2 linked regions of the Lonchura striata genome follow. The protein of the gene in region 1 interacts with the protein of each later gene in a biochemical or structural test. Links are inferred from orthologs where the notes say so. Each region holds a gene or a part of one and is shown on either strand. Other genes may lie near its edges.

Region 1 (10,227 bases):
ATGTTGTCAAACAGCCTTTCCCCCTTCCCTTCCAGGCAATCTCTTTAGACAGCCATTTGTCATCAGCCTGCAAAATCACACAAATCAGTCAGCCCAGTCCTACTTAAATGATTCATAAATCCAATTACGTTCGCTTCTTTATATAGTAAGCTGGGCACTAACAGATTCAACCTTCAGGATTAGAGGATGTGTAGGTAGCTGACCTCTGACTCTAAGGAACTGCTCAGGAGCTCCATACATATGGTTCAAACATGCAGCTCTACACTGGAGTTGTCACAGATATGGCACAGTAATCCTAATCTCTGTCTTGGAGGGACTGGAGAAGACACCTTACATACTATCTCAACACTTGCTACCATGTGTAGAAGTGAGTCCAAAGGAGGGTCAGCAAGATGATGGGGGCTGAAGCACTGACCCTGCAAGAGGCAGCTGTGGCAGCTGGGATTTTTAGCTTGGAGGAAGGGTGGACACTCAGCAGCAGCCCATTGGTGCTGATAGAAAGGATTGAAGAGATGAGGCCAGGTTCCTAGCAGTAGTGCAAGGTGGGTAAGAGACAACGGGCCAAAGTTCAAACAAGACAGGTTCAGATGTCCATAAAGGGAAACAATTTTCCCCACGAGGACAGGCAAACCATGGACCCACTGCAGACAAGTTGTAGTCTCTGTCCTTGGAGGTTTTCAAACCCAACTGGGTGAAGCCCCAGGCAACTTGTTCTGATCTCACAGATGACCCTGTTTTGGGCACGAGGTTGCACAAGAAACCTCCTGAGGTCCCTTTCCACCTGAATTATCCTATCATTCCGGAGTTACTGCATGATTCAAGTGCCAGCTTAAAGCAGAACGAGGCAATTATTATCCTGCCCCTTGTCTCCACTTCCAAAGTACAGCTTGTGATTATGCAACATAACAATTTTGGCATGCAGCTGCAGGGTCTGGTCTGTTGTCTGTCTCTGATGTAGTGCAAGGATGAACAGCTATACACACTTTCCAAGTCTCAAAGCAGCAATACTAATGCTGTTATTTTAGAAAGTATAGATGTCCCAGGAAGAAACACAGCCCAACACACACAGCATCTCACACTTTGTACATATTTTTATGGCATAATCACACTGTCAAATCCTTTGTCACTTACGAGGCCACCTATTATGATGTTTTCAAGAGCAGAATATTGTAAATTTTTTAAACCTAGACACTGAGATTTCCTGAGACATCTCAAACTGCTAAAAAATTTAAAATATATAATTATTTAGAGCAAGAGGCAGCACTGTTCTAAGCCAATCACAAACTCAATTTTTAAGTTCACAAAAAGATTTGAAACGCACTGTTATATGCTGAAGAACTAGGAACAGCACTGGCCATTAAATGAGATACACATATATTTTCTTTTTTAAAACATATAAATATATATTAAATGTAATGTATATTTTCCTCACTGTGTTGGACAGTCATCAGTTCTACCAGATCTCACACATTACAAGTTTGCTGTGCTTTACATCAGAAGATTGTTTGCTTTGTTTGTTGCTACTTTGCTTTTGCAAAGAATATGGCAATTAGAAAACACAGATGTACAGCATATTCATAGGATAGATAAAACAGCATGAGAATATGCAGAGGTGTTTGGTAACAGTTAATAAAAATTATAGTTGTGAGAAAAAGAAATACAGTCTATTTTTTCTAACCACATTTTCATCTGAGCAACATTTTAATTACACTACAGTTCCTTGAAAATTACCCTAGTAAGGCAAGCAAATGAAATAGTTTGACATACTGCTAGAGGCAAGCAGGGTCTTAACAGTGACTCTGCTTGAATACACTATCCCCCTGCATCCCCTCCTCTACAGACTATGCAAATTGAAACAACTTTTCTTGGCAAAAGCACTTCAACCTCTACTACTTTAAGAAGCTACAAAAACTAAAACCGTTATTCTAAAGAATGAAATAACAATGCAGTGTAAACCAATCCAAATCACACAAGTGTGTGCTGTTTTCCTCTCCAGACACCATAACAAAAGTGTATATCAACACTTGAAAGGAAATCTCTTCCCAACCGCAAATTTTCCTTTTTAACTGCAGACACATTCTGTTTGAACATTCATTTTGCTTACGTCTCATTTCCTTCCTCTCTTCCCTATGTTTCTTGACTACTGGCAAGGATGTGAATAAATCCTCTGCTTTTAGCTATTTATCTGCCTCTCCCCATTAGAAGTCAAGCCCTACAACATCAAAGCTTTACCATAGTAATCAACTGTTATGGCTCCAAATTAATTAAGACAACACAATAAAGAAAACAAAAATCCCATTCTCGTGGATAACATTATTCTTATTAAAAACAAGCAAAAGAATATGCAGATTACACAAGATGTAACATACACAAAGATGTGTTACTTTTTTTCTTGATATAGGGGTTAATTTAAAAAACAAAACTCCAGACAGCAGTTCTTCAGCCAAGTTAATTCTTTAGAGCACAAAATCTATGCTTCAAAGCTCTGCCTCTTCCCATCCTATTTATACTGGCAAACCTCCTGCTGACGAGCTTATTAAGAAACAAAGCAGTTCTGCAGCCCTATTCAGAAACAGCAAGGTCCCAGCTAGGGTAATGCCCACTTTTGGGTGATGTTTTTCACAAATGACTAAAGTGAGCTGGCAATAGTCCAAAAGAGAACAGCAAGAACAATAAGGGGGAAAGCAGATGAACACAGCCATCCTGTCATTCACTTGCCAGTTCCACAACTCCTAGAAGCCCACAGATAAAGCAGCTGGATGCACCTTCTGAGCCATCTTGTCCTTGTTGATAAATGGTTCTGGAATTTCTTTTGCTAAGAGTTGAGCTCCCAACTATCCACAGTCCCTGATGTAAAGCTGGCATACCCTACCACTGAAGGTTTTTGTTTTGAGGAAAATGTCAGAGGCTGCTCAAAACCTCAGCAGAGACATTCCTGCCTAGCTACATTTCACTGATATTCTTCTATCAAATTTTCCCTCACTGCCAGAAAATTAAACAGGGAACTAGCTTTGGTTAAGTATGTCACAAATTAGAAAGTCAAAACAGCAGATATGCACATTTTTAAGTAAATTACTAAAGCAGCAATAGCTGCTTCATCTCAGAAATGGAAGTCAGTTATAGTTTTGTAAAATATCAGCATAAAAATCTTTCCCTCTCTTAAAATCATCATCTGTTAATCACTTACAAAAGCAAGCCAAGCACGTTTGATCAACACATAAAACTAAGGATGCATTTTATAGTCCTTCTGGAAGCACTTGAGAAATGGTTTCAAAAGGTTAATATGCCAAAAGGATTATATTTACCTTAATGATGTACTGTAAGAAAATATGCAGCAAAACAACTCTCCCTGTGTGGCTATTCTGTTTCCTAGGACTGGCTTGAGTCACTAAGCAACTCCCATGAATATTACCCTTTGTGCTTAAAAGTAATTTATTTATCCCCAAGTCCATGCTAAATATTTATATTTGCTGAAGACATCATCATAGATTACATCCATTCTTTACCAGTGTTTAGCTAACAGATGAACTAGTACAGGCCTGTGCATTATTATTTGCATAACTTTAGCAGAATATTGACTTCATTGGAGAAACCTCTTCTCCTCTGGAGGCCTGTTGTACATCATCAAGTTCACAGCAAATGCGCATATAACCAATTAAAATTTCTTTGATAATTCAAAAGAACTAGTTTTAATTTCACATTACTCTACTAAGTACAATTTCTTGAAACCTTATAAAAACATAGCTAAAAGAATATACACCTCAGCGATCACATGACAAGAATACACAATTTTAAATTAATGGCTAAGTCTAACTGATGCAACTTGACTGGTACCTTGGGAGGAGTGACAATTTTTGAGTGCCGTTGTCTACCTGCTGCGCTATGCTTTGGGCTTGATGTACAGCTGTGCTCCCAGTCCCACTCACAAGGAGATGGCAGCGCAGTAGTTTGCTCCCTGAAAAACAAGGTTTCGTTTAAGTCCATATAACCAAAAAGGAGTGCTTGTGAAGCCTGGAACATTGAAATCCTAGAGATAAAAGAAGATACAAAATATATTTCCCTGCTTATTTTGACATGCTTTAGCTTCCTGGGAAATCACTTGGAAGTAGTGATTGAAAAAAAGGAGATACTCAGAAATATTTACACCAAGCCTACACGCAAAGCAATGCATGCATTTTTGCCAATGAAATAGGGTATTGACAGGAAGCATACTTATAGTTACTTCGTTGCACTGGTTCTCTCCACAATCCATCTGGCTTTTTGTTTCAATTTAGTTTTGGTCTGATTGTTTAGCTTGCACAAGGCTGTACACAGGAAAGCTGTGTACAGTAACAGCATTGTATCTTGAGCATAACCTCAGTGAGAACAATCAGATACATGTGCTCCAGTGACATCAGATGGTAACTCAAGAACTTCAGTTGCCAAATTATAGAAAGAAAACAATTTCCAGTGTAATCTTCTATCCTCCTTCCCCTGCTCAGTAGGCTTCATCTACCCTTCTTGGGCACAAGTAGCATGTTAGCTTCCATTCAGCATCCCGGTCACGGGGCTCCCCCTCTCCCTGACCCCTTGTCTAGTCCTTGATTACCCTCGGTAGGAAAAGAGAAAATGAATGGTTTTACTAAGATAAAGAAGGAACTTTTGACAGAAATAGAAACACAAGCTAGCAGTTAGGGTTTGATGGTGGCTTTTGTTTTGTTTTTAAAAGAAAACCAACGTGCAACTCAGTAATTTCAATTCTTCTTTCCAAAACATCTTTCCAAGTGCTCAATTTCCAAAGAAGGATATAGCCAGACTTCCCTAGGAAAGTATATTAGTTATTTTTTCATCAGGCTTGAATTTGTTTGCCTGTTTCCATGCCCCACCCTCCCTGCCCCTCACAATGTATAGATGTTTTTTCATTATGGTTAATACTCAATTAGGCGTTTCTAGATCACTTGAGAGACATAAGAGATACTGAAAGAATTCTGCATAACTTCCCCACTGTATACAAGTCTGGCCCAAGTTTTGATGTGTCTTGTGTGTGACATCCACTTTTTCCTAAGCACAAAAGTAATGAGGTCACAGGTTCAAAAAAGCAAAATTAAAATATCTAAAATTAAAAAAAATAAAGCTGTTTCAGATTAACTTTTTACAACACGCAACAATGTGTGTTGTAAAGACATCACACCTCAAAACTAGAAGGTTATTTTGTCTTTTTTTCCCATGCTCTTCCAGCATAAAAGTATCTTTCTAAGTAAACTACAGTTTTAAATCAAGGCAGGATTTTTGAAGTTGCAGTAGAAAAAGATGCTTAACATGAGTTTATATGACCACCAAAGAGCAGCACAAGCTATACTGTGCACTCAAAACAAACTTCAGCCTTTCTAGGCTGTGCACAAAATACTATTCTGGAGGCTGCAGAAAAGTCACACAGACAAGCTAAGCCTAACTACCATTCCTACCACCATTTTACCTTTGTCAAACTTCATAAAAATCAATCTGTCACAGAAATCACATCACATCACATCAAGCAAAGACGGAAGTAGAAAAACTTAACTTTGTAATGTCTTTGATAAGAAAATATAAATTAATACCTCAGCAAAATAATGTATGTGCCTTTCCTGCTTTCTTTTGCACAGTAGTCTGGGTTTTTAAGCAGAATTCTTACAACTTTCAAGCAATGGCTCGAGCCATCACACTCCAGATGACCTGGCATCACACTCCAGTGCTATTTTTTATCTTAAGAGATGTTTAAGAAATATAAAGTGCTCAATTATGCACCTGCATTTGTGCAGTGAGGAGCTGACAAATAAGGACTCTATACCCTTTATTCAGTATTAGGTTTTGGACAGCATCTCATTATGTTACATATTTTTCCTATACACACACACTCACACTTTTATCACATTTCATTTTTACAAAGAATATAACAGAGTACCTCTAGAAGTTGATAAGCTGATCTTAGCAAAGTGCATTATTAATGTGTTTATTCCAGTCATACAGAATAAGCAATATGCAGCTACAAAAAGAACAGGTTTTTTTTTTTGTCAACTCGATTTCCTTCTACTCAATTGCTGGTTACCAACCTTTTGTTCCCTGAAAGTTCTAATAGAAACATAAAAGGGATCCCTATTACAGTCCAATGACAACAGCTTTTCCGAAACTGTTGGAATGGCAATCCAAACATAATTGGAATATATCTTAACCAGCTTGAAATTCCAAGTGTGTACAACAATCACATTAACTAAACCTCTCCCTTGATTCAAGCTGTGACTCTAGCCAGAGTAACCTACTTAAAAACAAAGAAGAATTCTACAAGAATATATATACAGGAACTTTCCAACACAGTTCCTCAAAATAGTAGGAGAAATCAGCTAACATTTTATTAATGTATAAAGAGCAGCTGTAAAAATCAGAGATTTGCATGTATATAATTTATATGGAACAACCAAAGGAAGTCACAGTACAGCATACTCCGCTGTCCTGAATCCAAATAGACTGCACTGAGAATCCCTTTTATTGGGCAAGTTTTTAACAAAAAGTGCTACAAGCACTCATTAACATGACACTGGAAATTTAGAACCAACATGAAGAACACTTTTGTTAATAAAAAGACACAAAACCATTTCTATCAGTGTATTTTCTAGACCAGTTTTTATGGTTCTGGTGATAGATCTGAAAGAAAAAGATAGTGATTTATTGCTTTTACTGTTGCTGCCACCATTAAAGAAAGCAAAATTGTGGAGAAATTATAAGATAAATCTGAATGCAGTTATAGTCAAACAGCCACAATTATAATCCAAGTTTTTCTTTGAAGCCTTGTTTACACAGAACCAATAGGAACATGCTAATTGGTCTTGGACAAAAGCCACTCATATTTTGCACTCCTCTGCAATGTCTGAAACAAGGTGACAACATTCTAATGTATTACAAAAATACAAGAGATCAGAAGGACTCTAAAGACACCCATCCATCCATGCTACTCATACAGGGGCAGGTGGAAGAGAGTGACAACTCTGTTTTCCACACAACATATGTTTTTGGTGGAAACAGTTACATACACAAAGATTTTTCTGAAGCTTAATACTTAAGTGTATGGTACAAGAAAGCACTCCGAATTGTTTTTAACAACAATCAGAAAAGTCTTCTTGTAGGGAAACAGTATTCCTAAGTATTATGAACTCTTCCTCCTAAGCAGAGAAGTAAAGTTGCCTGCAAAGAAAAAAGTGATTTTTCTTTTCCCATTTTAGGAACTGCTTCTCTGACAGATAAAAATTAAAATATGTATATTTTAAATGAGGAGAGGGGAAACACAGACATACATCAAGTTAGTAGCAAGCAAAAAATACAAAATAGCCATTTCATTTCTGTTCTGATGAGTATACATGTATTTATTGTTCCTGTTCTTCAGCAAACTCGTAATTTAGAAATAACACCTTCTTCTAGTTATTTCTCTAGTCAAGGACTGGTAGTACACAGAAATCTCTAATGAAACCACTAAGTTCAACCACAACTACTGAAGATACAAAACTTGGACAGTACAAAAAAAGATCACCTGTTTTATTAATAACTCTCCTCTTTCTGATAACAAGTTTTAAAAATGCATGATTCAAGGTGAGCACAGTTTTTCCCATAGTTACTCACTAATTGCTTTTTAACACTTACCCTGGATGTTGCCACAGATTTGCATGTCTACCCTCAGGAAGCAGCTCCCTCTTGTTAAGGGGAGTAACACCTATTGCTGCTTCTAAAATAGTTATGTATTTCTTGTATCGCATCCTGCCTGTCTCAAGACTTCCACCACACTAAGTTATCATCCAAATGCAGATGCTGCAACTGAAGCCATGCCTCTTCACTGATTTGAAATGCTGCTTTTTAAAACATGCTGCCACTTTGAAGCACAAAAACAATGCTTTTTCTCCTCTCCCAGGCTAGAATAGTTAGCAGAAGAGAGAGAGAAACCAAAGAAAAACTCCTACCAGATTCCCCAGAAACGTCATTGTTACGTAATTCAATCTTTGAATAAGACACTAATGAAAATGATTGAAGAGACAATCACGGTTCTAAGCCTGGCCGGATAATGCACACTCTACAATTGACTAATCCTTTGCTAAATCTCTGCTGTCTATAATCTTTCAACTGCTAATGGAGCACTAGGTAACTTCTCTGTCAAATCCATCCAGGGAATAAAAGAGATCTGCACAGAAATCTTGAGACCATTTTAGACAGTGACAGCCAAAAATAGCTTTTGCCTTAACTTTTCTCACCAGAAAGCACCAGAGCACCAGAAAGCTCTCTATGTTAGAAGTGTCACAAGGGATTTAGCTGATCTACTCAGAAAAGGCATGGAGAAATATTTCCTTACATGGCTTGTGCAGAATTAAGAAAGATATAGACTCCCATTATGATACCTTCCAGTCATTCAAATGTGGCTCCCAATGATGCCAGAAGCCACATCCCATGTCAGAATTGCTCTAGCCATGAGGTAAGGAACTGCGTGTGCCGAAGACATCAGGTATGAACTACAACACTGGAGACAGTGTTGAAAGAAGTAACGGTGACATTTTAGAAACACTCTAGTACTGTCAAATTGCAATATTCAAAGAGATGTACTTGATTGCAAAGCTAATCAAGGAAATGTTGATGTAATGCTTCTTAGTAAGAAATGAATGCATTTATATATATATATATATATATATAGATAAAGGTATATATAACACATAGTTACATATATAAGTTGCATAATATATAAATATTATGCACTTAGGCAGTAATAGAGATAAAAACATAGAAAGAAGAGATGTGACAGAAAGACTGAAGCCTAGAACCACAACTTCCTCTATAAACTGTGCATATTACTTATTTCCTGGTCCTATTAGGCATGTGTGTATTTCTGTTGAGGTGATATCATATTACATGTTACTTATTTAGAAATTAAGATGATTTCTTGTGCTGTAAAATATTTAGCTCTTAATAACAACATTTGTATAACTATTTCCAGATTCTACATTACTTACAATCCTGCATTAGCCATATTTGGTGTTTAATATCCAATCACATTTGTAGGCTATTTTAGCACATGCACGCACTGAACTATCTCAAGTAATTACTAAAGAAATCCATGTGACTGATCTTATAAGAGCAAAATAAAATCAAGCATCTTTTAGATTCAGAGACTAGCACTACAATTGTCAGAGGAACATGCTGATAAGGAGTATGTAGTCTGAAATGTAGTGATATGTTAAAAAAATAATTAATATATTAAAAGCACATGAATTAAATTAAGCAAAAAATTACTTTTCCGTGTGCAAAAAAAAAATCACTTAACTACAACTTTAAACATCTGTATACAAAGCATTAAGAAGCTTAGGAAAGCAGAGTAGTACTAGGAGCCTAGCAAGCACAGCTAACGTCATTAAGCCTGCAGGCATCCTGACTTCTGATAGATCTTTGGTAGATCTACCATAAAGGTTGTACTGAGAAAGAAAAGACAAGACAAGTGAGCAGTTTTTGACAATTCCAGTACTTAAGGATCTCCTGACTGTAGAAGTTCATGACAGTTATATTTTACTCAAAAGCAGAAACACTTCTTTAAACTTTCCCCTTACAGATCAAAGAAATAGTTCTTTAAAAAACCTTCCCACAGGAGTTTTCAAAGCCAGTCCTATGCAAAGTCTGAAAGTATTAAGTGCAGCTCTAGCCCATCTTCTGTCCCTTTGTGCAAAGCATATTAATTCTGACCAGAAAAGGAGCCCCATGACTAGTGTTGCATACAGGGAAGCCAAGCCCACACAATAAACACAAGTTACACCCAAGTACTGCTTTCGTTTAAATGGCATGTGAAACCTCCAGGTATCCAGAGGGAGAGAGGCTGACTCACAGTTAATCAACTTCCTTCAACTTTATTTAGAAACAGAAATTCAAAGCTGCTAGTACGCAGACTGTTACTGAAGAATGACTTTGTAGAGCAAACAAAAAGTCTAAAACAGACTGTCCTCCATTGTTTCCTGCTGGAGAATTATTGTCCACTCCACTTTTTCTGTCTTTGTATTTTTTCAAGAAGAACAGAAACCCAAGTTTTTTTGGAAAGAAACAGCACAATTTTCCTGACTGAGAGCACACAAGTAATGCCTCGGAAAATATAATGCATTTCTGAGAAGGGGGAAAGAATGACAGAGCTTTTTTCTCCATTAAAGAAACATTTGCAAGATCAAAGCAAAAGCTTTATTTTGCTCTAATCCTCAA
Region 2 (10,113 bases), on another chromosome or scaffold:
AGCGCCACGAGGAGCTGGAGAAGCGTCTGGGGGCCCTGGAGGCGCAGCTGGAGGCGCTGGGGCTGCGCCTGCTGGCCCTGCCCGGGCTGGTGAGCCAGGCCCTGGGCCAGCCGCGGCCACCGGGGCCGGCGGGGACAGCGGGGACAGCGGGGACAGCGGGGACACCGGGGACAGCGGGGACAGCGGGGACAGCGGGCACAGCGGGCACAGCGGGACTGTCACAAGCACCGCGGCCACCAGGCACACCGGGACCACCAGGGACACCGGGACCACCGGGGACACCGGGACCACCGGGGACATCGGGGACCTCGGGGACGCCGCGGCCGAGCGCGGCCACCGCCCCCTGCAGCCCCAGCCGCGACCCCCGCGCCGCCCCCGACAGCCCCCGGCCCGCCTCGGACAGCGGCTGAGCGGCGGCGGCACCGGCGGCACCGGCGGCACCGGCGGCACCGGCGGCACCGGGGGGCACCGTTTGTCCCCTCGTGTCACCTCGGGCAGCGGCCGCGGGGCGCTGGGGTCACCCCCGTGTCCCCTTCCGTCACCTGGGACAGCGGCTGGGGATGAGGGGGGGACACGGGGGTCCCTCTGTGCCACCTCTGCCACCTCACGGGACAGCGAGGGGGCGTGGGGACACCCCAAGGTGGGGACACCCCAGTGTGGGGACACCCCAATGCGGGGACACCCCAGTGTGGGGACACCCCAGTGTGGGGACACCCCAATTTGGGGACACCCCAATGTCCCCTCTGTCACCCCCCCCAACTTTGGGCTGTGCATAATGGGGGGGGGGGAGGTTGGGGACACCCCCAGACCCCTTTGTGTCCCCCCACGCTGTGAGGGCAGTTTCGGGGTGCGGGGGGGTCGCAGAGCCCTTTGTGCCCCCCGGTTTTGGGGTGCGGGGGGGGGGTCGCAGAGCCCTTTGTGCCCCCCGGTTTTGGGGTTTGGGGGGGGTCTCAGAGCCCTTTGTGCCCCCCGGTTTTGGGGTTTGGGGGGGTCGCAGAGCCCTTTGTGCCCCCCGGTTTCGGGGTGCGGGGGGGGTCTCAGAGCCCTTTGTGCCCCCCGGTTTTGGGGTTTGGGGGGGTCTCAGAGCCCTTCGTGCCTCCCGGTTTCGGGGTGCGGGGGTCCCCGTGTTTATCTCTGGCCATCGTGTGGCCGTGCCCGTAGCTTTGTTCTGGAAAGCTCCGTATAAAAACCTCCTGCGTTCACTGTGCTGGGCCCCCCAAAACCCCCCCAGGGCCCCCCCAGATCCCCTCGGACCCCCCGGGAACCCCCGGCACCCCCCAAACAAGGGGAGCCGAGCTGAGCTTTTTTGGGGGGGGGCTGGGAGAGGGGAGGGGACGGGGGGGACAATCCAGGAGCCCTGAGCGGTTTTGGGGGGGTGGGTCTAAAATTTGGGGACTGGGTGGGGGGGCTCGGAGGGGGGGAGGGGGAAAGAGAGACCCCCGTGGTGACCCCCAAAATGGGGGTGGGGGTGTATTTTTGGGGGGGGGAGGGTTTCTCCATTCCTGGCTCCGCCCCCAAAGTGACCTTGGAGACGTCACCTCTCTGTGCCTCAGTTTCCCCCAGCTGGAAAATGGGGGTGGGTGGGTTTGGGGGGGCACCCCTGGATGCAATACTGAGCCCATCCCCGACCCCCGGGGTGGGTCAGGACCCCTCCCCACAGCCCTGGACCCCCCCCGGGTCCGGTTCTGCTCCACCCGCGGAGCTGGGGGGGTTTGGGGGAATTTGGAGTTTTTTGGGGCAGTTTTGGGGGGGGCTGAGGCGCAAATTAAAGGAGCCTGAACTGGACGTGTCGCTCTCTGCTTGACCTGGAGGGTCTGGGGGGATTTGGGGGGCTTTGGGGGGATTTGGGGCATTTTAGGGTGGTTTGGAGGAAATTTTGGAGCGGTTTTGTAGGGATTTTTGGGGTGTTGGGGAGGATTTTAGGGGATTTGGGGAGATTTTTAGGATTTTGGGGGTGGATTTGGGGAGATTTGGGGGGACTTTTAAGGATTTGGGGGGATTATTGTGATTTGGAAGAGAATTTAGGGGGTTCGGGGGGATTTTTGAGGTTTTGGAGTGCATTTGGGGGGTTTTGAGGTTTTGGAGCAGATTTGGGGGGATTTTTGGGGGTTTGGAACAGATTTGGGGGGATTTTTGAGGTTTCGGGGCGGATTTTGGGGGACCCCTGACCCTTTTTGGGGCCCCGCGGCCCCAGAAGCGTTGGGAACGCTCAGGGGGGTGGGGAGGTGGTGGCCCCGTGCGACAATCGGGGGAAACTGAGGCTGTCAATGATTAACGCGCGGTGCCCGGCGGCGGTGGCACCGCCGGTGGCACCGGTGACACCGCTGGTGGCACCTCTGGTGGCACCGCTGGTGGCACCGCTGGTGGCACCGCCGGTGGCACCGGGGAGCAGCCGGGGGACATCGCGCTGTGCCCGGGGGTCGCGTGTGTCCCCTCCCCATGCGACGGGCAGGTGAGGGCGGTGGCGGGGAGGGGACAGTGGCCATTGTCCCCCGGGGCTGGCAGGGGGACAGGAGGGGACACGGGGTCCCTGAGCGTCACCCGTGGCTGTTTCCCAGCCAAAGGTGTCCCCAAAGGTGTCCCCAAAGGCGTCCCCAGATGTCCCCAAAGGTGTCCCCAAAGGTGTCCCCAGAGGTGTCCCCAGAGGTGTCCCCAGGTGTCCCCAGATGTCCCCAAAGGTGTCCCCAAAGGCGTCCCCAGATGTCCCCAGAGGTGTCCCCAAAGGTGTCCCCAGGTGTCCCCAGGTGTCCCCAGAGGTGTCCCCAAAGGTGTCCCCAGGTGTCCCCAGAGGTGTCCCCAGGTGTCCCCAGATGTCCCCAAAGTCGTCCCCAGGTGTCCCCAGATGTCCCCAGAGGTGTCACCATGGCCGGAGGTTGTGTCCCCAAAAGTGTCCCCAAAGGTGTCCCCAGGTGTCCCCAGAGGTGTCCCCAGGTGTCCCCAAGTGTCCCCAGGTGTCCCCAGCTGTCCCCAGGTGTCCCCAAAGGTGTCCCCAAAGGTGTCCCCAGAGGCGTCCCCAGCTGTCCCCAGGTGTCCCCAAAGGCGTCCCCAGGTGTCCCCAGCTGTCCCCAAAGGTGTCCCCAAAGGTGTCCCCAGCTGTCCTCAGAGATGTCCCCAGCTGTCCCCAGAGGCGTCACCGCCGCCGGACGATCCATCCCGTTCCCGGGCCAGCGGAGCCGCGACAATCGGGGACATCCGGAGAGAGCCGGGGACAGTCGGGGACACCCCCCGAGCCACCCCCACCCCTCGGTTCGGGGTTTTTGGGGAGGCCCCGCCACCTTTGTGCCCCCTCCCCCCGCGGGAGCTGCAGTAATTCAACATTACTTAATTCATTAATTATGTTTGGTAATTAACACAAAAACGTCTGCACGGTTTGTTTTTGGGGGGGGTCGGCCCGACCCGGAGCTGCCCCCCCGCCCTTTGGGGACTCTCCTGACCCCAATTTCCCCTTTTCCCCCCAATTTCCCCTTTTCCCCCCAATTTCCCCTTTTCCCCCCAATTTCCCCTTTCCTCCCCAATTTCCCCTTTTCCCCGAATCTCCCCTTTTCCCCCAATTTCCCCTTTCCTCCCCAATTTCCCCTTTTTCCCCCAATTTCCCCTTTTCCCCCAATTTCCCCTTTTCCCCCCAATTTCCCCTTTTCCCCCCGAATTTCCACTTTTCCCCCAATTTCCCCTTTCCTCCCCAATTTCCCCTTTTTCCCCCAATTTCCCCTTTTTCCCCCAATTTCCCCTTTTCCCCCCCAATTTCCCATTTTTCCCCCAATTTTCCCCTTCCCTCCCCAATTTCCCCTTTTTCCCCCCAATTTCCCCTTTTCCCCCCGAATTTCCCCTTTTCCCCCGAATTTCCCCTTTTTCCCCCCAATTTCCCCTTTCCCCCCCAATTTCCCCTTTTTCCCCCAATTTCCCCTTTTCCCCCCAATTTCCCCTTTTCCCCAATTTCCCCTTTTTCCCCCAATTTCCCCTTTTCCCCCCAAACCTCCCCGGGGCTCCCCCGCTGCTGCCCCGCCCCGTTTTTTAACCCCTCCGTGCCCGGTGCTTCCCCCGCCTCCCCGGGGGCGGGACCCGGGGCCGGTCCCGCAGCGCCGCCGCCGCCGCCGCCGCCTCCGCCGCTCCCGGCTGCCATTTTAAGGTGAACAAAGCGGCGGAGGAGGCGGCAGGTGAGCGGCTCCGCGGTACCGGCAGCTCCCGGTACCGGCACCGGCACCGGCAGCGCGGGGAGACGGCGGTACCGGAGCGGGAGGGAGCGCCGGGGGTCTCCGTTCCCCGCTGGGAACGGGCGGGTTCCTCCTTCCCCGAGGCACCGGGGGCCCCGCCGGGCTTCTCTCCGGTACCGCGGGCCGCACCGGAACCGGCCACGGGGCTCCAGAGCGGTACCGACTCCTCACCGGCACCCGGGTCCCCGCCACCGGATTCCAAAGCGGTACCGGGTCCCCACCGGCTCCGCAGCGGTACCGGATTCCAAAGCGGTACCGGGTCCCCACCGGCTCCGCAGCGGTACCGGACTCCAGAGCGGTACCGGGGTACCGGCTCCGTACCGGTACCGGGCTCCCCGACACCGCCGAGCTCCCCTCCGTGCTCCCCCCGGTACCGGAGCCGGCCCCGCGGCTCCTCCCGTGTCCCCACAGCGGGCCGGGACCCCCGAGCCTCCGGTCCCGTCCCCGCCGGCTCCGGTCGCCGCTGCGGGTCCCGGGGGTCCCCGGTGGGGTCAAACCGGGGGATCCAGCCGGGACCGGGGCATTGCGGATCGACGGGATCGGGAACGGGACCCTTGGGCAGCCCCAGAACTGCCCCCGAGCCCCGGTACCACCGGAGCGGGCGCCCGCTTTGCCTTTCCCTCAGGAATTCGCCTTTCCCGCGGGGCTCTGGGGATTTTTGGGGGTCTCTGCGTGTCCCGCGGGGGGCCCCACGTTCATTTTGCTGATTTTAAGACCCCCCCCCAAATTTTCCTCGCGGCTCTGCCTCACGTGACCTCCGGAATTGTCGTGGTTTGGAATTATTTTGATTTTTTATTGCGATTATTTCGATTTTTAATCCGGGATCAGCTCGGCCCCCCTCAACCCCCCGCCGCTTCCCATTCGGGAATTCCAAAAATCCCGATTAATTCCCTGCCACCTCCGGGCTGTGGGGACAGGGAGGTGACACCGAGAGTCCGGCGTGGCTGGGGTGGCACCGGCTGGTGACTCACCGTGCCTCAGTTTACCCACGTAAACCCGCGGTGACTCCGTGCCTCAGTTTCCCCATGGAACTTCTGGGGCGTCTCCAAGGTTTTTGTGGGGAGGTGTCTCCAGGTTTGTTTTTTTTTTTTTGGGAGGGAGGGTCTCCGGATTTGTTCCTGGGGTCTCCAAGGTTTTTTATGGGCGTGCTCCGAGGCTTTTTTGGGGGTGGTCTCCGAGACACTTTTGGGGGGCGTTTTTCCAGGTGTTTTTTGTGGGGTCTCCAAGGTTTTTTTTGTGGGGTCTCCAAGGTTTTTTTGTGGGAGCTCCAAGATCTTTTTGTGGGGTCTCCATGTGGTTTTTTTTGTGGGGGACTCCAGGGTTCTTTTGTGGGAAATTTCCCAGGTTTGTTCGTTTGTTTTTGTGGGACCTCCAAGCCTTTTTGGCGACTCCCACTCCGGGTGGCGACTCCCTGCCTCAGTTTCCCCGCGGTAACTCCGGCTGGGCGGCGACGGCGACAAAGGGACCAAAGTCCTTCCCTTGCCACCCTCCGCGGGTGCCAAAACCGTGACAAAACCCTCCGCGAGCGGCTCTGTCCCCTCGTCCCCCGCAGGGATGTTCCCCAAGAAACTCTCCGACGGCCCCGCCGGCGGCTACGGGCCACCCCCGGCCACCTCCTACGGGCCACCCGCGGGCGACTACGGCTACGACTTCGGGGCCCGCTCGCCGCCGCCGGGCTCCTACTACGCGGAGGACGCCCCGCAGCATTTCTACCGCTGGTGCTCGCCGCCGGGGCTGGTGCGGCTGCTGGCGGCCGCGGTGCTGCTGCTCTGCGTGGCCGTGTTCGCCTGCGTGGCCTCCACGCTGGCCTGGGACTACGGCTACGGCTACGGCGGCGCGCTGGCCGCCGGCCCGGGCGGCTACTACGGCTCGGGCTACTACGGCGGCGGGCTGGGCTACGGCTACGGCTACGGCGGCTACTACGGCTACGGCGCCGCCAGCCCGCGGGCGGCCAACGGCTTCATGATCGCCGCGGCCGTGCTCTGCTTCCTCGCCCAGCTGGGGCTCTTGGTAGCCAGCCTGAGCAAGTCCAGCGGGTCGCGGTCGCGCCGCTTTTACCTGGCGGTCACGGTGGTGAGCGCCGTGCTGGCCCTGCTCGTGCTGGTGGCCAGCATCGTCTACGTGGTGGGGGTCAACCCGCAGGCGCAGATGAGCGGCGGCTACTACTACAGCCCGCTGCTAGCCATGTGCAACCAGGTGTACGCCGGCGGCGCCGTGCTCAACCAGTACCTGTACCACTACTGCACCGTGGACCCGCAGGAGGTGAGCGGGGCCAGCGGGCCACCGGGAGGGGGACCGCCGGGAGGGGACGGGGACCACCGGGAGGGGACCGCCGGGAGGGGACGGGGACCACCGGGAGGGGACGGGGACCACCGGGAGGGGACTACCGGGAGGGGATGGGGACCACCGGGATGGGATGGGGACCACCGGGATGGCGATTACCGGGAGGGGACAGGGATTTACCGGGAAGGGATGGGGACTACCGGGATGAGGATGGGGACTACCGGGAGAGGATGGGGACAACCGCAGGGGATGGGGACCGCCGGGAGGGGACGGGGACTACCGGAGGGGATGGGGACTACCGGGATGGGGATGGGGACTACCGGGAGGGGGACTACCGGGAGGGGACGGGGACTTACCGGAGGGGATGGGGACTACCGGAGGGGATGGGGACTACTGGAGGGGATGGGGACTACCGGAGGGGATGGGGACTACCGGAGGGGATGGGGACTACCGGAGGGGATGGGGACTACCGGGAGGGGACGGGGACTTACCGGGAGGGGATGGGGACTACTGGAGGGGATGGGGACCACCGGGAGGGGAACTACCGGGATGGGGACTACCGGAGGGGATGGGGACTACTGGAGGGGATGGGGACCACCGGGATGGGGATGGGGACTACCGGGAGGGGACAGGGACTACCGGGAGGGGAACTACCGGGATGGGGATGGGGACTACCAGAGGGGAACAGGTTTGGGGTTTGGGGTTTGAGATTCAGGAACTTGGGTAGGACAGAGAAAAAAACTGGGATTCAGGAATCAGCCCCGCCCCCTCGCTCACCCCCCCACCCCCGCTCTTCCCCGCGCCAGCCCCAAACTGCAGCGATCCCAAATCATTCCCGGGATCCCGATCCCGCTTTCCATCCCGGTCCCGGTCTCGGTTCAGGTCCCGGTCCCGGTCCCGTCCCTGGCCGGGCCCGCCGGGGCCGCTCCCCCCGGCGGGGCTGGAACTGGAATGCGGCGCTTCCAGCCCGGCCGGTGGGACCGGGAGCGCCCGGGGCCGCCCGGGACCGGCTCGGGATGGGGCCGGAACGGGGATGGGGCCGGCTCTGGATGGGGGCCCGGGGCTGGCACCGGGGGCCCCCAGATCCTGCCCATCCTTCCCAAACCCCAAAACTTTCCATGGCCTTTCTAAATCCCAAACCCTCCTCAATCCCAGACTTTCCCAAATCCTAAACCTTCCTGAATCCCAAATCTTCCCTGTCCTTCTCAAATCCCCATCCTTCCCAAATCCCAAACCTTCATTTCCCGTCCTTTCTGAATTCCAAAACTTTTCAAATCCCAAATTAGAGATTTGGGAAGGACAGGGAAAGGTTTGGGATTTGGGATTCAGGAAGGTTTGGGGTTTGGGAATGTTTGGGATTCGGGAAGGTTTAGGATTTGGGAAGCACAGAGAGAATCTTTGGGATCGGGCTCATCCCCTGCGGCGGGGACTCCCGGGCTGAGAGCAGCGGCGCCAGAACCCCCAAATCCCGAATTCCCGGAATTCCCGGAATTCCCGACTCCCGCATTCCCAGGCCGTGGCCATCGCCTGCGGCTTCCTGATGGTGCTGCTGCTGTGCCTCATCTGCCTCTTCGCGCACAAAACCCGCAGCAAGATCTGGAAGTACGGAAAACACAACATTTATTGGGATCGCCTCCCGGCCGGCCGCCAGGGCCCCGACGTGGAGGAGTGGGTGAGATTTTGGGGATTTGGGGGGTTTGGGGAATGCTGGGAATGGGATCCGGGGGGTCCTTCCCGCCCCTTTTCCAGCGGGGCTGGAAATCCCCAAGTTTGGGATGGGTGCAAAGGGAAGTTTGGGGGATTTGGGGGCACCGGGAGTGGATTTAGGGGGATTTGGGGATTTTAGGGGCATTTTGGGGACTTCGGGGGGAGTTTGGGGACTCCAAGAGGGCTTGGGGACACTGCCAGGTGACACCGCGGGGCGCCGCGCGCGGTTTCGGTCTGGCCAATGATTAACCGGGAGGTGGCACCGGGAAAAGCCGGAGTGGTGGCACCGGGACGGGGACCTTGGGGACATCCCGGGCTTGTGTCACCTGCTGGGCTGGCCCGGGGCGGGGTGGGAATGTCACAGCGCTCCCGCGGGAAGGCTTGGGACAGTGGCTTAGGGGACAGCCCTGTCCCTGTCCCATGTCACCATCCCTGTCCCGTGTCCCCATTCCTGTTCCTGTCCCCATTCCCTGTCCCCTGTGTCCCCATCCCTGTCTCCTGTGTCACCATCCCTGTCCTGTGTCCCCATCCCTGTCCCCATCCCTGTGTCCCCACCCCTGTCCCCATCCCTGTCCCTCTCCCCTGTGTCCCCACCCCTGTCCCCTGTGTCCCCATCCCTGTCCCCACCCCTGTCCCCATCCCTGTCCCCTGTGTCCCCATCCCTGTCCTGTGTCACCATCCCTGCCCCCAGTCCTGTCCCTGTCCCCACCCCTGTCCCCTGTGTCCCCGTGCCACCACTCCCATCCCGGTTTCCCTGGGGCCGCGCTCCCTGCGTCGCTTTTGATTTGATTGGATTTTTTGGTGATTTAATCTGATTTATTTTCTTTCCCATTGTGCTCTCGCCCCGTTTGTTTGGGTTCCTTTGGGTTTATTTGCTCCAGGCCCCTCCCTGGATGAACATTTCCCGTCCCTTTTGGGGACACGCCACCACCCGCAGGTGCCACCCGCAGATAACACCCCCGCCTGCCACCTCCCCCGCGCTTTTTTGGGGTGTCACCCCCTTTTGGGACATCTGAGTCCCCAGATGCCACCACGGCTTGGGGACACACCTGGCGGCCCCCGGGAGGGGACGGGGGAGGAAGTGGCGTGTCCGGCCGGATGTCCCCAAGGCCACCAAGCCGGCGGGGACCGGCGTCCGGCACAAACAACCCACAAAGGGCCGGACGGAAGGGGACAGGGGACAGCCGGACGTCCCTTGTCCCTCTGCGGGGCCACCCCGAACCTGCTGGGTGCCACCCTGAGGGTGCCACCAACCCCGAGCTCTGTCCCTTTGTCCCCTCGTCCCTTCGTCCTTTGTCCCTTTGTCCCTTTGTCCCTTTGTCCCTTTGTCCCTTTGTCCCTTTGTCCCAGTTTCTTCACGGGGGTTTTGGGCTTTTGGCCTTTTGGGTTTTTTGGGGTTTCTGGGTTTGTTGTTTTTTTGGTGGTGGGTTTTTTGTTGTTTTTTTTGTATTGGTTTTTTTTGGTGGTTTTGGTTTTGGGGGTTTCTGGAGTTTTTGGGGTTTCTGGGTTTTGGGATTTTTGGGGATGTGCCTGAAGGATTTGGGGGACTCCAGGTGGGACAAAAACCTCTGTTTCCTATGGATTTTCTGTCAGATTTTTCAGGGAATTCTCAGGGATTTCTTGGTGGATTTTCAGGGAACTTTCAGGGATTTCTCTGGGAATTTCGGTGCAATTCTCAGGGACTTTTCTCGGGGCGTTTCTCGCCGATTTCTCCTTTATCCCGGCTGAGTTTTTCCTCCCGAAATCCCAAATCCCAACCCGTTCTCCAGGTGAAGAACGTGTCGGGCGGGACGAGCGTTCCAGACGAGGCCGCCACGGTCGCGTACTCGGAGAAGGGCGAGACCCCCGGGCCAGCCCCACCCTACAGCCCCCCCGCGTACAGCGACCCCCCCCAGAAGGGCTGGAAAAGGTG

What was found.
Region 2: the proteins of TJP2 (region 1) and OCLN form a complex in vitro, tested with the Homo sapiens proteins (3 studies listed by BioGRID). The link is inferred for Lonchura striata from reciprocal best matches to the Homo sapiens genes TJP2 and OCLN.

The regions. Positions count from the first base shown.
Region 1 is NC_134642.1:23,551,213-23,561,439, forward strand, and holds the start of TJP2 (tight junction protein 2), read right to left. Parts: upstream 3,912-10,227; 5' UTR 3,835-3,911; intron 1-3,834. UniProt on the Homo sapiens protein: Plays a role in tight junctions and adherens junctions. Acts as a positive regulator of RANKL-induced osteoclast differentiation, potentially via mediating downstream transcriptional activity.
Region 2 is NC_134630.1:7,829,412-7,839,524, reverse strand, and holds the start of OCLN (occludin), read left to right. Parts: upstream 1-5,765; coding exon 5,766-6,473; intron 6,474-8,007; coding exon 8,008-8,166; intron 8,167-9,970; coding exon 9,971-10,113. Other genes in the region: KCNN1 (small conductance calcium-activated potassium channel protein 1), read left to right, coding at 1-98, 383-516, 2,195-2,452, 4,078-4,324, 4,444-4,965. UniProt on the Homo sapiens protein: May play a role in the formation and regulation of the tight junction (TJ) paracellular permeability barrier.